2 linked regions of the Macaca mulatta genome follow. The protein of the gene in region 2 interacts with the protein of the main gene of each other region in a pairwise test. Links are inferred from orthologs where the notes say so. Each region holds a gene or a part of one and is shown on either strand. Other genes may lie near its edges.

Evidence for each region.
Region 1: the proteins of EIF3G (region 2) and MIF4GD interact in binary tests that used the Homo sapiens proteins (3 or more experiments, as listed by UniProt). The link is inferred for Macaca mulatta from reciprocal best matches to the Homo sapiens genes EIF3G and MIF4GD.

What each region holds. Positions count from the first base shown.
Region 1 is NC_133421.1:84,959,578-84,963,974, forward strand, and holds the start of MIF4GD (MIF4G domain-containing protein), read right to left. Parts: upstream 2,913-4,397; 5' UTR 2,864-2,912; exon of another isoform or gene 2,615-2,863; intron 2,466-2,614; exon of another isoform or gene 2,310-2,465; intron 1,989-2,309; 5' UTR 1,939-1,988; coding exon 1,857-1,938; intron 911-1,856; coding exon 791-910; intron 1-790. UniProt on the Homo sapiens protein: Functions in replication-dependent translation of histone mRNAs which differ from other eukaryotic mRNAs in that they do not end with a poly-A tail but a stem-loop. May participate in circularizing those mRNAs specifically enhancing their translation.
Region 2 is NC_133424.1:10,826,729-10,831,134, reverse strand, and holds the start of EIF3G (eukaryotic translation initiation factor 3 subunit G), read left to right. Parts: upstream 1-1,315; 5' UTR 1,316-1,355; coding exon 1,356-1,375; intron 1,376-1,514; coding exon 1,515-1,561; intron 1,562-2,052; coding exon 2,053-2,136; intron 2,137-2,244; coding exon 2,245-2,333; intron 2,334-2,443; coding exon 2,444-2,503; intron 2,504-3,935; coding exon 3,936-4,040; intron 4,041-4,132; coding exon 4,133-4,322; intron 4,323-4,406. UniProt on the Homo sapiens protein: RNA-binding component of the eukaryotic translation initiation factor 3 (eIF-3) complex, which is required for several steps in the initiation of protein synthesis.

The sequences.
Region 1 (4,397 bases), on a different chromosome or scaffold from region 2:
AAATTAGCCGGGCGTGGTGGCGGCGCCTGTAGTCCCAGCTACTCGGGAGGCTGAGGCAGGAGAATGGCGGGTACCCGGGAGGCGGAGCTTGCAGTGAGCCGAGATCGCGCCACTGCACTCCAGCCTGGGCGACAGAGCGAGACTCCGCCTCAAAAAAAAAAAAAAAAAAAAAAAAAAGAGAAAAGAAACCATACAGAGGACAGTAACCATACAAACAAACAGCTTTAGCCTGTCTGTCTGCTGACTGTTGCCCAGTCAGAGAAAATGGGGAGGGGTTATGTGGCTGGTAGGAACCAATCAAAGTAAGAATGTAGTTTCTCAGGAAACACATCTTTTCCTGGCACTAGGTTGAGGAAGGAATACTAACCAGGACATGCCTCCAACAGCAGTTTCACAAGTTTGTTTTTTTTTTTTTGAGACGGAGTCTCCCTCTGTTGCCCAGGCTGGAGCGCAGTGGCCGGATCTCGGCTCACTGCAAGTTCCGCCTCCTGGGTTTATGCCATTCTCCTGCCTCAGCCTCCCGAGTAGCTGGGACTACAGGCGCCCACCACCTCGCCCGGCTAGTTTTTTTTGTATTTTTTTTAGTAGACACGGGGTTTTACCGTGTTAGCCAGGATGGTCTCGATCTCCTGACCTCGTGATCCGCCGGTCTCAGCCTCCCAGAGTGCTGGGATTACAGGCTTGAGCCACCGCGCCCGGCCAGAAATAGTGTTTTTATAAGACACAGGGCCTCCCAGCAGGCTCGGCTTGGCACATGATGGGTGCTGCTAATTATTAGTTGAAGACAAACTTCTGTCCTGCGTGTTACAGCGGGAAGGCATCAGGCGAGGGCAATTACTATAGCTCCTCTGGCAGACGGAATATTCTCCACCTGTCTCAAAGCACGCAGCTGTGCATTCAAGAGACGGGGCTATGGCAGCACAGAAACGAGCAATTCAAATGTAAGCGCTTCAAGGGCAGGAGCTGTGTTCTTTTTTTTATGATTAAACCTTTTGTTGTTGTTCTTGAGACAGGGTCTTGCTTTGTTAGCCAGGCTGGAATGTAGTGGCAGGATCATGGCTCATGGCACCCTCACCCCCCCAGGCTCAATCAATCCTCCCACCTCAGCATTTTAAGTAGCTGGGACCACAGGTGCGTGCCACCATGACCGGCTAATTTTTCAATTTTTTTTTTATTTTTTTTATTTATTTATTTTTTTTTGAGACGGAGTCTCGCTCTGTCCCCCAGGCTGGAGCGCAGTGGCCGGATCTCAGCTCACTGCAAGCTCCGCCTCCCGGGTTTACGCCATTCTCCTGCCTCAGCCTCCCGAGTAGCTGGGACTACAGGCGCCCGCCACCTCGCCCGGCTAGTTTTTTGTATTTTTTTTTTTTAAGTAGCGACGGGGTTTCACAGTGTTAGCCAGGATGGTCTCGATCTCCTGACCTCGTGATCCGCCCATCTCGGCCTCCCAAAGTGCTGGGATTACAGGCTTGAGCCACCGCGCCCGGCCCAATTTTTTATTTTGTAGAGATGGGGTTTACACCATGTTTCCCGGACTGGTCTTGAACTCCTGGACTCAAGCAATCTGCCCACCTTGGCTTTCCAAAGTGCTGGAACTACAGGCATGAGCCACTGCGCCCAGCCCTATGGTTAAACTTTTTAAAAAGTCTTTACAGTCTGAGAGGTGACTGATTCATACTCCAAAATAATGGCCTCAATGTAGCTTGTCTCCAGTTCAAGAATTACGTTGCCGATTCCTATCGTCAGAGAATGAGAGGAGGGGTGGAGGCATTCACCAGGCTCAGCCTCTGGTGCTGCCTACAGGGGCCCTTCTCTGTGGCTCCTGACCCCAGCTCAGGAAGGGGTCCCGTGCTCACCTTTGAGTGCTGTCTTCAGCAGCTGCTGGGTCTCTGCATCAAAGGACTGGATTTTATACTCCTCTCTACTGGGCTCTCCCATGACTAGCCAGCCCCAGTATCTCTTGACTGGGCTGGGACTAAGGACAGCACCTGGGGAAGAGAAGAGGCGAAGGGAGCGGCCTCAGGTGTGGAGCGCAGGGCGGGTTCCGTCCTGCAGACCCTGGGCGGGGCTGACGGCGCTCGGACAGGGGCTCCAGGGCGGTTCGTGGCGTGCGGTGGTTGGCTGACGGCCCACCAGGCTTGGCTTCTGGCGGGGACTGGGCATCAGCCAGGCACCTGCTGCTCAGTTTAGAAACCCCTTGCTTGTGGGATTACACAAGAGCGAGAAGCTGAAGCAGGAAAGCGCCCACCCTCCAGTCCCAGCGGGAGGGAGGAGTGGACTGGGGCAGGGTGTGTGCGGGCGGACGTTACGGTTGCTTAAATAAACCGGCCTGACGCTGCTGGCCCAGCAAGATGCCGGGTGAAGGCCAGGCTGGGAACTCCAAGCGGTGCGACTCTGTCCCCAGCAGGGCTCCAAGGCCCTCTCCCCAACCCTCCCTTTCTGGCTTTTGCCTAGTCCTTCGGTCTAAACACCCGCCGCTGCATCCCCCGGATGGGGCCGGCCTGCGTAGGTAGGAACGCAGGCGCCCTGTCCGCCCCCTAGACCCGGGCCAGCTTCTCCCCGGGACAGACTGGTGGGACCGGCTCCCGAGTGGCTGTAACCCGGCCTTACTCACTCGAGACTCCTAATTCCTAAGCTCCATTATGGAGCTTTCCTCTTACAGTGGGGGGCAGGATGATGCGCCCCCGAGAGGTGGCTCCCGCCGGAGGCTCCCCTCTGGCCATAGGAGGCGCCTTTAGGGTCTCCAGCCCTCGACCGCTCCCCCCGTGCCCAGAACGCCCCTTCCAGCAGCACAGGGCCGACTGCGTAGCCCACGGCGCAGGATCCCGCGGGCGGGAGAGGCGGCGTGGGCGCCGGGACCCACCTGTCGGGCCGGCGGCGCGCGCGCGCGTGCCCGGGGCCGCTCGGCCGCTGGGAGCGCGCAACCAGCGTCCGGCGCTGCGGGGGCCGCCGTGAGCTCATCTCCTCGCGCAGCGCCGGGGAAGGGCCGGCTCGCCGGCGCCACCTGCCGAGCCCCCGGGGCACTGCCCTGGCCTCCAGGCCGCCCCGGAAGCCACCTCGCCCGCGTGGCATCCTGCTACGCTGCCACTCAGCCGCAGGCGGAACTCGCTCGGCTCGTCACCTCTTCACCCGGTGCGCCTCGGCCCTGTCCGGGCCCACGCCGGACCTGCCGGATCCTCGATCTTGCGCGTGGCTCCGCACCCGGCCCTCCCCGGAGCTCAGGTGCACCGGGCCGGGAGACGCCGCTGGGCTGCGCGGCGTGGGAGGAGCCTGCAGAGGGCGTGGTGGGGACCCGGTGGGAGAAGGAACAGCATCTGCCCTGGTCGCACCACTTTCCCCGTTCCCCTCACCCAGGTAGAGAAGGCAGGGGCTGCAGGACCCGGGCCAGCCACAACCCTCTCCCGCTCGAAGGAGGACATGGTCGAAGCGAGTTTCAGGTCAGAGGGGCAGCCCTAAGAAAGGGGCCCCGCGGGCAACTCGCGGCCGTCGGTTGTTGCGAGTGGCCCTGAAGTGGCGCGGACCGGTCCACCGCCCGGCGTCTGCCCTGGGTGACAGGAGGGCACCTAGAAGAGGGGAAGAACTGCCGCCGCTCCTGCCGCGGGACCGGGAGGAGCGTTGCCGGCGCTGCCCGCGTTTTCGCCTCCTTTTAAAAGAACCGCCAAAGTGGTTACCGAAAACGGAGGATAAAGAGAACGCTCAGCTGCAGCAAAAGAAACCAGTGGGCAGGAGAGATGAAGAGAAGGAGCTTTAACGGAATTTCATAAAAAATACATTCAAGCAGCTGCATCCTCGCGGCCCCCGCCGCAGCCTGGACCTTGGGAACCAGCAGCCCTGAGCCAGGAAGCCCCAGCATTCAGGGCCCGGACAGACTCCAAAATCCCAGACCAGAGGCAGGGAAGGATGGTGCGAGGAGGAGCCCAGGACCCACACGCCAGGGCCAGCGCCGGCTCCCAGTGGGTGCGTCCTTCCAAGGCTGGAGAGGGAGGCAGAATGGAGGGCTTCCCAGGTCGGAGCAACTCTACAGGCCGGGCAGGTGGAGGGAAGGGTGCAGGTCATGTTCTGGAGACCTCCCCGCAGCCTGGAACTGGTTTCTCCTCTGCCTCTCTGCCTGTGGGTGTCCCTGTGCTCTGGTAACACCCCAGGCACCAGCTGTGCCCTCACCAGGCTGCCTGCCCGCCCCTTCTGCCATCCCCATCAGCGGGCTGCTTCAGAGCCACGGCCCTTCTGCGGCTACAGGGGCGGATGCACCCACAGCATGCTCTGCACTGAGGAGCAGGCAGTGGGCGCTGATGCCAGCTGCCCTGCCGACAGCTCCTCACCCAGCAAGGCCGACCCAGCCCCGGGTGAAAGAGGAGCGAGTGAGGTAGATTGGGGAGAGGCTGCACCTTCACCCATGC
Region 2 (4,406 bases):
TTTAATTACATTTAATATCTCCCTAAAGGCAGAAACTAAATACTTAGGAATAAGATGGCTGATAGAGCTGGCTTTAGAAGACCACAATAGCTAAGATTTTTTTCCTCCCTGAAAAGCAGTTTTTTCCCCTGGGGAGTCATCATGAATCACTCCAACTGAGGACGGTTGTGCTTAGAGCAAGCAGCTGAGCCATAAACAAGTAAATGCACAAAATTATACCGGAAAGCCAAGAAGGCTACAAAGAAAAGAAGAGGGAGTGGCTGGGGAGGGGGGCGACTTGGCATCTGAATCATTGAGATCGGGAAAGAAGATAAGGAACAGTTTAAGCAAAAGGATTGTTTTCCCTGAGCTTTGGTTTCTTTTTTCTTTTTTTTTTCTATTTTAGAGACAGGGGTTCTCACTATGCTGCCCAGGCTGGTCTCAAACTCCTGGCCTCAAGCGATCCCCACACCTCAGTCTCCCAAAGTGCAGGATTACAGGCATGCGCCACCGGACCCAGTCTGAGCCTCAGTTTCCTCAGCTGTAAAATGGAAGTAATATCCTCCTCACCGTGCTTCATATACAACAAGCACTCAATAAGTGAGCCTTGTTATGATTATTATTATTTATTTTAATTTTACTTCTTTTTCTCAGACAGAGTCTCACTCTGCAGCCCAGGCTAGACTGCAGTGGTGTGATTTCGGCTCACTGCAGCCTCCGCCTCGTGGGTTCAAGCGATTCTCCCGCCTCAGCCTCCCGAGTCCCTGGGATTATAGGCGCCCGCCACCACGCCTGGCTAATTTTGGTTTTTTGTGTGTGTGGGTTTTTTTTTGTTTTGTTTTGTTTTTTGAGACGGTGTCTCGCTCTGTCGCCAGGGTGGAGTGCAGTGGCGCAATCTCAGCTCACTGCAACCTCCACCTCCCGGGTTCAAGCGATTCTCCTGCCTCAGCCTCCAATCTGTAGCTAGGACTACAGACGCGCACTACCACGCCCAGCTAATTTTTGTATTTTTAGTAGTGACGGGGTTTCGCCACGCTGGCCAAGCTGGTCTCGAACTCCTTACCTCAGGTGATCCGCCCGCCTCGATCTCCCAAAGTGAGGGGATTACAGGCTTGAGCCACCGCGCCCCGCCTATTTTAATTTTAAAGGTTAATAGGACCAGCACTGAAATCAGCCTCTGCCCCGCCAGCCCTGCTCTGGTACCAGCAGCGTTCAGCAGCACACACAGCCGCGTGCGCCTCCACCTCCGTCCGCAGGTGTCGTTGTGGGTGCCGCGGCTGGGCCTCTCTAGCGGCGACGGCGACACCGGAAGTCTCGTTTTCCACCCACTTCCGCTCTCTGGCCAGGCTTGGGCTGCGTGGAGAATACTTTTTGCGATGCCTACTGGAGACTTTGAGTGAGTCCGGGATCGCGGAGGGGGGCATGGGAAGCGGTTGGGGTGCTCTGGGCAGTATTATGGGGCCTGGGTGTGCCGAGGCTGCGGGGACCGGGCCTTGCTGACTTAATCTTCGCTTCCCACACATTTGTTTCCGCAGTTCGAAGCCCAGTTGGGCTGACCAGGTGGAGGAGGAGGGGGAGGACGGTAAGTGTACCCGGTCGCCCGGGGTAATCGCGGCCAGGCCCGAGCCGGGCGACTGACGCCTGCTTCCATCTCGCAGTCTGGCACCGTGTCCCCCGTCACGACCAGCCCCTGCCCCGCGCCATCCTCCTTGGGACCTGCCTGTTGCCAACTCCAGGTGTTCCCGGGCGGGTCCCTGTTCCTCCCATGTTACTGCCGAAGTCCTCCCAGCTGTTGCCTTACTCCAGGGAGGAAGTTGTAATCTCCCGTCTCCTGTTTGTCTACTGGCGCCTGGTTGGCTTCATGGCCTGGCACCCACCTTCCTACGAGGGATCCCCCATCTTTGCCACTCCAAGTCCCCACAGGGCTATCCCAGTGCGCTGCCTGGTCAGCCCTCTGCCCTTGGCCTGCCTTTCTCAGCTCTTGCTGTAGGCATCATCCCAAAGGCCCTTCCATCGCAGCTGGGGAGCTCCTGCCCTGGACCTGACCCCTCCTCCCCACGCTGCCTCTTGCAGACAAATGTGTCACCAGCGAGCTCCTCAAGGGGATCCCTCTGGCCACTGGCGACACCAGCCCAGAGCCAGAGCTACTGCCGGGAGGTGAGTGAGGACTGCCACTCCGTGTCCGGGTTGCCTCTCCCTCCAGCCCTGCCGCTCCTGATCCCCATGACCCAGGACTCAGTCCTTCTGTTTTTCCCCTTCTCCCAGCTCCACTGCCACCTCCCAAGGAAGTCATCAACGGAAACATAAAGACAGTGACAGAGTACAAGATAGATGAGGATGGCAAGAAGTTCAAGGTGAGGGTAGGGGGTCCCTTAGACCAGAAGGCGGCGGGGTGTGCTGAGGGGGTTGGTAAAGGAGATCCCCTAGTCCCAGAAGCCTGACCCTTCTCCCCTGCCATCCTCAGATTGTCCGCACCTTCAGGATTGAGACCCGGAAGGCTTCAAAGGCTGTTGCAAGGAGGAAGGTGAGGCGCTCCTTCCCCAGGGCTAACCCAGAGGAATTGGGAAACCGTGCTCCGGGACCTTTTTGTTAAGAGATGGGGCTTAACTCTTTTTTTTTTTTTTTTTTTTGAGACAGAGTGTCGCTCTGTCCCCCAGGCTGTAGTGCAGTGGCACGATCTCGACTCACTGCAACCTCCGCCTCCTGGGTTCAAGTGATTCTCCTGCCTCAGCCTCCTGAGTAGCTGGGATTACAGGCATGCGCCACCACGCCCAGCTGATTTTTGTACTTTTAGTAGAGACGGGGTTTTGCCATGTTGGCCAGGCTCGTCTCGAACTCCTGACCTCACGTTATCCACCTGCCTCGGCCTCCCAAAGTGTTGGGATTACAGCCGTGAGCCATCGCACCCAGCCGGGCTTAACTCTTTGTACCTATTTTGTTGAAGCTGAACTGAGGCCTGGAGTGCTTACACTCTCTTGGGACTCTGGAAAGTCCAGGGCATAGGAGTCGATGATAAATAGCGATTAAATGATAAATATCTAATAAAAGTTTGATGATAGATATCAAATTATATTAATAAATGTCAAATAAATTCCATTATAAATATCGAGTGAAAGTTAGATTCTTTTAATTTTTTTAAAGACACAGGGTCCAGTTCTGTTGCCCAGGTTGGAGTGCAGTGGCACGATCATAGCTTACTGCAGCCTTGAACTCCCAGGCTCAAGCCAACCTGGGATTACAGGTGTGCACTGCCACACCCGGCTAATTTTAATTATTTGTAGAGATGGGGTTTCACTATGTTGCCCAGGCTGGTCTCTAGCTCCTGGGCTTAAGAGATCCTCCCACCTTTGCCTCTCAAATTGCTGGGATTACAGGAGGGAGCCACCGGGCCCAGCCGGGGTTAGATTCTTGTTCCTCTTGGCCTGTCAGCCTGGAGGAACAGAGGCAGGAGGTGGTCGCAGCAGTTAGAAGCATTAGCAATAAATACACTTAGAACAGCTTGCTGTGCACTTAATTGTAACATACCCCATGGCAAACGCCTTGCAGGGAGTGTCTCTCTGATTCAGTCTCCTTAGGAGCCCAGGGAGGCAGGAAGCTTTTGTGGTTCCCGTTTGATAAGGGAGGAAGGGAGGAAGCTGAGGCTCAGGTTGTCTAGCTCAAGGGCCAGGAGGTCTGGGTAGACCCCTGCACATCCCTGAGTATCACGCCCTGGTGGGAGCTGGTCCGCCAGCCTGCACAGGCCCCAGGCTGTACAGCTGTCACCTGGAGCTTGGGCCTGGCGTGTACTCAGGAAATGGGAACTGTCGCCAGGACTATTTGGGGAGTGGTTGAGGAGGATGAAAATGGGGTTCGAGGCCCAGGTACTCTGGGGATGGCTGCTGTAGGTCTAGGGTATCCCACTGTGGAACCCTGCCTGCCCCTGCCCTCAACTGTCCCCCATCCCCCCCTGAGCCCAGAACTGGAAGAAGTTCGGGAACTCGGAGTTTGACCCCCCGGGACCCAATGTGGCCACCACCACCGTCAGTGATGACGTCTCTATGACGTTCATCACCAGCAAAGAGGTGAGCAGGGCGATCGGGGGGGCTGGCGTGCTGGGGTGGGGCACAGGGGGTGCCTCAGCCGCCTCTGAGCTCCCACAACCCGCCCCTGCCAGGACCTGAACTGCCAGGAGGAGGAGGACCCCATGAACAAACTCAAGGGCCAGAAGATCGTGTCTTGCCGCATCTGCAAGGGCGACCACTGGACCACCCGCTGCCCCTACAAGGACACGCTGGGTCCCATGCAGAAGGAGCTGGCCGAGCAGCTGGGCCTGTCTACCGGCGAGAAGGAGAAGCTGCCGGGAGGTGCGGGGCTGGGGATGCTGGCTGCCATGGCGGGGGCGGGGGGTCCTGCTGTCAGTGCGCGGGTTCTGTCCCCAGTGCTGCCTT